2 linked regions of the Caenorhabditis elegans genome follow. The protein of the gene in region 1 interacts with the protein of each later gene in a pairwise test. Each region holds a gene or a part of one and is shown in the gene's direction. Other genes may lie near its edges.

Evidence for each region. The genes of interacting proteins can lie anywhere in the genome.
Region 2: the proteins of spe-42 (region 1) and fer-1 interact in a two-hybrid assay, tested with the Caenorhabditis elegans proteins (one study listed by BioGRID).

What each region holds. Positions count from the first base shown.
Region 1 is NC_003283.11:11,734,855-11,738,610, reverse strand, and holds the start of spe-42 (Dendritic cell-specific transmembrane protein-like domain-containing protein), read left to right. Parts: upstream 1-1,614; 5' UTR 1,615-1,642; coding exon 1,643-1,728; intron 1,729-1,773; coding exon 1,774-1,905; intron 1,906-1,956; coding exon 1,957-2,061; intron 2,062-2,108; coding exon 2,109-2,172; intron 2,173-2,222; coding exon 2,223-2,315; intron 2,316-2,362; coding exon 2,363-2,580; intron 2,581-2,652; coding exon 2,653-2,842; intron 2,843-2,886; coding exon 2,887-3,294; intron 3,295-3,350; coding exon 3,351-3,494; intron 3,495-3,544; coding exon 3,545-3,673; intron 3,674-3,728; coding exon 3,729-3,756.
Region 2 is NC_003279.8:8,629,026-8,632,781, reverse strand, and holds the start of fer-1 (Sperm vesicle fusion protein fer-1), read left to right. Parts: upstream 1-1,579; 5' UTR 1,580-1,597; coding exon 1,598-1,666; intron 1,667-1,713; coding exon 1,714-1,839; intron 1,840-2,257; coding exon 2,258-2,551; intron 2,552-2,650; coding exon 2,651-2,935; exon of another isoform or gene 2,936-2,981; coding exon 2,982-3,197; intron 3,198-3,325; coding exon 3,326-3,534; intron 3,535-3,580; coding exon 3,581-3,692; intron 3,693-3,756. UniProt on the Caenorhabditis elegans protein: Required for the fusion of the membranous organelles (MOs) with the plasma membrane, a process essential in spermiogenesis.

The sequences.
Region 1 (3,756 bases):
TGTTGTATTGTGTTGAAAACTAAATTGTGCCGAATTATACGCATCATTTTGAAAAAGGTAACTCTCTGCCAATTTTAAGTTCTTGAAAGTCATCTATCATCTAATTTGAACGGTTTTATTTATGTAAGCCAAGTCAGTAAGAAAGTGAGTTTAAAAAATAGATAATACAAAAAATAAATATGAAAAATAAATACAAAACCAAGATTTTGGCGAGTTTGTGGTTTCTTACAATAAATTCTTGATAGATTAACAGATACCTTCAAAAACAAATCAATGGTTGAAATACTAATTTTTAACGAAACCAGGAATTCCTACAACTGTCAAAATTAAACTGGCACATGGGAAATTGAGTATCAAACAAGCAAATTAATGTTTTCTAGTCAAATCAGGGATCAAACACAAAGAATAAAAAATCTAAGGTTGTGTAACCAATGAAAAACCGAACACTGACCAAGTTTAGTCAAATTGAAAGTGGGTGAAAAATGACTGTCGACCGAAAACCAGTCAGTATGAAAAGTCTGTTGAAATTGTCGCCGACAACGGGGGTAACCACGACGATTTCGGGTTTCACACACCATCAAATATATCCTTTTGTGCGTCTCTCTTATGGAACAATATACAAGTTACGATATATTTTTTTTTGATTTTCTGTCTCTCTACTATCCAAATTTTATATTTATTGGGGAAAAATGTACAGTATAGATTGAAGCCTGGTGAGCAATCGGAAGCAAAATCATTTTCTTTGTTTTTTGTTTTTTTTTATTCGTCGTATCTATTGAAAAGAGGCAACATTGCGTCGGAAGCCCCAAAAAGGGACGGGAATGACAGTACAATTGAATTCTTCTCTTCAGAAATCTGAAATTCTTCAGAGAATTAGAAATACAATTAAAAGTTGTGTTCGAGGGGACAAGAACATAACCACACCCATCCGTTTTATTGAGGATCTGAATGTTCACGTCATAAAATGAAAAAAAAGGGGTTTGTTTATAGGTGTTCTCTATATCGGATTGACCCAAATCGGCCTACAAAAAGAGGAAATGAGATATGAAGTGGCAATAGATACAGTGATATGATAACAAGCATTACGATAAGCAACTCGTTTTTTTCATTGCAATGAAGCAACGAAAATTAGTGAACGCCTGTTCCGAAATCAGATGTACTTCTGGTGATAAAAAGAAATAAACAATCGATGTACTTTTGGTAACGTGTATTCTGTAATTCAGTTCACAAATGTTTGAAAAATTAATATTGTTGCCAGCGGTTCCGAGAGATGTATATCCTATAGTTAGTGTATACTATAGTTCCATTGAAGCTCGTAGTTCTGAAAAATTCGAAATAATTGGTTTCATAGGCACACAAGTAGGCACATTTTGCTTGAAAACCTTATTCTAACTTTTCCACGTATAACCGTTTCAAAACATGAGCTATTGAATCACATAGGTCTCAAATGCCAATCCGTTTGGCTCTCTTGGCTCTTTAGTAAGCAAAGCCGAGAAAAGGGACACCTGCAGTTTCCCAATTCGGAGAAAATGTTCAAAACGTGAACTCAAATCTGTTTGCCAGCGGTTCACAAATTTTCAAAACGTATCATGGTGAAAATATTTATTTCACCTTTTTAAAATCTAACTGAATTGTATCAACTATGGGCTTAATTGGATTATGGAATGTAAAACGTCGAGCCAATCGAGCTGTGAGAAAGTTTCAATTTGTGGTTAATAATATCAGACGGTTGGTTAGAGTGTGGATTTTGTTCAAACACATGAAAAATTTCAGAGAAAAATCAGGTCAAAACCGAGTTTTAAGATATTCTGAACGTTTGAAAAAATGGTTGTCCGTTTTATATCCTCCATGGAAAAAGGAAAAAGATGATGGGATTTATGACAATTTATTCGAAGATGGAACAAGGTTTTTGGAATTATTTTGAGAAAAAAGAAAATCTTAAAATTATTTTTCCAGAGCTAATTCTATTGTACTTCTATTCCGAAACATCCTAATGATTGAATTATTTGGAATAGTTATGTATTTTCTGTTGTCGTTCAAATATTCACAATACCCGGAGTTGTAAGTAGATCATATCCTAAATCTAAAGTTAAATATTTTCAATATAGTATTGGAACTTCCATATCCACAATTATCCACGTTTTTCTGATTTTCACTTTGATATTTCCAAAAGTAAGTACTTCAGGATTTTTATGTGGAATTAATAAAATATTTCGTTTCAGATGATGACGTACTTTATGATTTCTATCCACGTCATGTTGACTACAAAAATCAAAAACATAATTTTAATTCTTCTTGTCACAATGGCTTTTGAAGTTTTATCAATTCATCTATTCACGGGAACATCTCAAACTAATTTCAGGGTCCTGCAATGAATGTTATTGGAAATATTCATCAAGTAGCTTCTGGTGTTGCCTGCGTTCAAATTGATGTTATGAGTTCAAGAAATGATGTGGAAGGGAATGTAATGGATAAAGGAGCTATGCTTGTTTCTCGGTTTCGTGCACTTCTTCAAAATGTATCTGGTCCAATGAATAAGGTCAAGAAAATGCTATTGGTTCTAGATGAAAAGATGACAAAGTAAGTTGCAATTGGGATACCCAAAATGTCAAATTCTTGTAATTTGATTAAATTGATATTGTTTCAATTAAGATTTGTGGACATCATGAGGCGACATTATCGAGTTATAGCCAACTTGTCAAATCAATGTCGAAATATGCTCAAAACTCCCTATACAAAATGTCTTGATATTTTCGACGACGCATATTTTTATTGTAAGGGGAAAGCTCGATTTTTTGGAAGCCACGGCGATGCTTGTGAAATGATTCAGAAAACTGCAAAGGTATTCAATCAGTCAACATATCAATCCTATTATAAAACATTAAGATTTGCCATCAAGCAAAGGGTTTCTCAACGGAAGTATGTTCTTTACCTTCTATCATTGGAAAAGGAGTTAAAGGAGCAGCTGTACCATTTTATGCAGCTTACTTTCAAGCAATTGAATTCGCGGTGAAAAAGATTTTCTACGTACACATTGAAGCAGCAAAATGGGCACTGAAGAAAGTGAATCCAGTGATAGAAGAGATAAAAAAGGCGAAAAACATTCGAGCTGAATACCAGTCATCTGATGATGGTAAACCAAATGCTGCAGATGATACAACTGCAAACTTGAGAGCAAGTATAAAGAAAAGTTTGATGGGAATTGTGAATGTATACATACGGATTATCAATATAATTTCATTTATTCTTCGATATTGTATCATGCCAGGATTGCTCATATGGCCGTTCATCTATGTGAGTTTAAATAAGTAATATGTTAACATACAAAATTTTGAACTGATATTTTTCAGACACTTCGGTTCATGTATAACTACAACTATAATGACGACTTTAAAAACCGTTTTCTCACAAAAGAATTTACAAAAATTGATCAAGATTGTGCATTTCGCGGAGCTCGTAAAGTCATGCCATTAATGGCAAATGAATCAAAGCAGGTAGGTTTCTCTGGTTCATTATCATTCTAAAAATCTTAGACACCGTTTAGTATGTCAGTCGAGGTCAGTGGAAAATGACAGAACAAGAGCGACCTAAATTTCGATTAGATATTTTCATCACAATTGTCAGTTGTGTCACTCCTTTCTTTATGTGTATGCTTGATTATGGTATATTTACGGTAATTAAATGAATAAAATTATATTGACTTCAAATCTATAGATTCAAAGTTTCAGACTCTATCAACTGTTCATACTTTAATGA
Region 2 (3,756 bases), on another chromosome or scaffold:
TTACATCATATTATTCACAAACATATGTCCACATTATCTCACTAAAGACTGTAAAATGTAGTAGTCATATATGTACCAAGTGTCCATATCCCTCAAAACAGGTGTTTTCAATCTCAGTACCCATTACAGTCTATCAAGTGCAATTTATAGGAAGACACGTGTCACTTCAGACACCTCTCGACCTTTTTGTTGTACAACATGCCAACAATTGTTCAATTGAGATGCTTTTTTTGGTTTTTGAAATTTGGAACGTTGAACTGAAGAGCTAAGACTCTGCAAATAAAGAATCCAAATTTTTATCTAATTTTCTAAATGTTCAAAAAAATCATGCTTGTTGTTAAGAGTTTGCTGATTGATGTTTAAAAATAAATATATTTAGGACTCCAACAGGATGGCCGAGAAGTTTGTCACAAAGGCCCTTCACTTTGAAAAATATTACTAACATACCCTTAGAAAATTTTGAGATCATCTGTAAAAACCAACGATGGATTCATTTTACGAACATAAAAAGTAGTGACAAAGAAGAGATATATTTTTTTTATTTAAAAATACCTCACTGCTGCTTAAATCTTTGTTTTCCAAATGCCACACATTTGGCAAAAATTTCAATAACTACAGTTTCGCCAAACTTCAAATAATTCAACAATCATAAAGTATTTAATCATTCATATTACATAACATTGGTTTCAATCCAAAAGCTTTCCTCAATAATATTCGCTAATCGGCTCGTCAATCAACAATGCTTCATGCCTTTTAGAGGTACCCGTGGGGGGTCAACTCCTTTCTGCAAAAGGCATATGGCCGTCTGTCAAAATGGGGGTGTGCTCATTCGATTTCGTACCAGATGATGATATCTCAGCAGGAGACACATTTTGTTTCCCTTTGAAGATACTCATGTCTTTTGTCAATTGCATAATCTTTTCACGTTTGTTTGACAGGCGGGAGGATTCGGTGATGTGAGCCGACGGAAATGACATGGAGTCATCCGGAATTATGAATGTAGGGAATTAGGAAGTGAGCACCCAGGAAGCACACCCGAAAGTTTCAATGAATATTTTGAGCAACAACATTTCCAAAGTATGTCTAAAGAAAACGGAAAAAAAAAAAAATCAAAAACCACGTTTTTTCTTATAAAAAATCTTTTTTAAAACTTTTGGAAAACTGATATTCGGCAAACGAAAATCGCAGCCGACTCCTTATAGACAGTGACAACTTTGACAACATCTCAAAAAAACCGATCGAGGCGTGACGGGGCGCCTCTTTCCCCGCCCAACTCGCGCTTGCATAAAAATACAGTACTCCTACCGTACTAGTCCACTACCATGATAATTTCATCTTTTTCTAGTGAGAATTCCAATTTCGTACTACAATTTGGCTGACAATTAAAAATCAGAAAAATAATGAAACAAAAATAAATACGTGAGAAAAAAAACAAAAAAGTTTTACGTGAAAAAAGTTGAATCACGTATCTTTTCTCACGTGACCTGTGCTTCTCTTGTCTTCACAGCTTTGCCACATTTATTGCCACGTCATCCAACACCCCTTGCAAAAATTTCACGGGAACCAAGTTATTTCTTTCAATTTCCACCAAATCGACATGACGGTCAAGGAAAAGCTACTGAAAGTGAAGCAAAAGTTTAAGCGAGGGGATTCATCCAGTGATGTGGTGTGTCTTATTTTTATTAAATTCCTTTAAATTTTGCAATATTTCAGGATTCCGGCCCGGAGAGAGATCGGGATGAAGACGATTCGGATAACGAATCGAGGAATACAAGCAAGACGAGCAAATCCAGCAAAAAGAGCAAATCGGGAAAGAGCACGGGAACATCGGAGATGACTGTTAGTTTCGGAATATTAGTTTAGAATCAGAACAAAGATGGACCTTTCCTTGTTTGTTTAGTACGAAATAGTTCCACAGTGATTTTATCGATTGTTGACATAGTTTGGTAGTATCGATTTATTATAATATCTAATATTAGATCTACGTGGCAATAATATTTCGCAATAGTTTGCTAGTTATTTATTGAAACTGTTATCTTTTAAACCAAAAATCGATTTTACTGGTATCGGTTTTGTAGGTAGTGGATGATAATGAAGTTCTAGTTTCATTCAAATCAATCATTTATTTCTTAGGATTATCGATTTTCGGCTTCTAATCGAGTTTGATAATTTGAGTTATTAGAGCTGCCACAATTTTGTTACTGAGTATAAGATTAATGAGAGAACGTTTTGATTTTTTTTAATTTACAAATTTCAGGAGCTATCGGACGACGGTGGATCTGACATCGAGCTGCTGCCAGATGATGGAAAAAGCTTTGGAAAACGGAAACTGCAGGACACTGACAAGCCATGTACCTGGAATGTTCTTGTACGAATTATTGAGGCAAAGGATGTCAGCACAGGATCCGCAAGAGTTCGAACGATCTTTGACGGAAATTCAAAAATGACAAGAACAGTTACTCATGCAATTCCAAAGTGGCGACAAAATATTCTCTACACAATAAAGAACCAGCCACTGGAGAAGCTTGCTGCCAAAGTTTTGACTCTTCGGGTAAACTTTTAAACATTGGAATATTTTTCTTTGGTTGCTCTGAAGCGTTATCAGTGATTAAGCATGTTCTCTGTAATTTCCAAATATGTAACTTTCCAGCTCGTGCGTCCTACAGCACTTGGTGAATCAAGCGTCGGAGAGTTCAGCTGCTACCTCTCGGAAGTAATTCACTCTCCCGACAGATCTGTCATTGCAAAATGGGTCGCTCTGGGATTTCCTGGAATGGATGACGAGGAACCGGACGATATCGCCTATGAGAACTGTGGATTCCTGAAGGTGACGCTCTCTGTGTACCGGATCGACGAGTCACCACCAACGCTGATTGATGACGATGGGAAGGAGCAAATCTGGAGTGGAGCACATCTCATTGATTATACTCTTAAGGTACGGTACTTGAAGATGCTTAATTACTAATAACTTTTCATTTCAGATCAGAGTGTTCTCCGTGGAACAGCTCATCCGACAGATGATCAATGAGAGGAAAATCAAGAAGAAGCAAAGATTCTATGTGATGGTTCAGTGTGGAGCACACAAGACCGAAACAACAATGGAATCTGCGTTTCTTGATGAAGATGCAAACATCGCATCAGTGAAGTTTGAGCAAGAGATCTATCTTCCAATTCAATGGCCAACTGTCATCTCAGAGGTATGAGTTTGGATTTTAAGACCGTATTTTTTCGCGTCTCTGAGACATGGTAGACAGTCTATGCCTACATGCCTGCCTATCTCTTATTTTCTTCAATTTCCGAAGATATTTTTATAACTGATTTTCAGATTATTTTCTCATTGTTCGACAAAAAGGGACGAGGCAAAACGTGCATAGGAAAAGCCACTCTTCCAATGAAAATGATTTACGAGCCAGGAGAGACTGGATACCTTCCGACTTTTGGACCTGCGTTTCTCAATGTATTCGATTGCGAACGCGTGACTCGATTCAGCATCTTCTCAAGAAAAATGCGAGGATCCCAGCAGGATGGGAGCAGGTAGGCTTGGAGAGTTGAAGACTAAACTAATTTGTTTAATTTTCAGATTTGTTGGGCGTTTGTTCATTGCGATCGATTGTGTAGAGTATATGGAGAAGGCTAATGCTCAGATCATGCATCTTGATCATTCCCCAATTATGGAAGCCGAATCGATTTGTGTAAGTTATTGAAAATTGGAGACAATATTGAATGTTTCATGTAATTATTGGTGATTATATTATA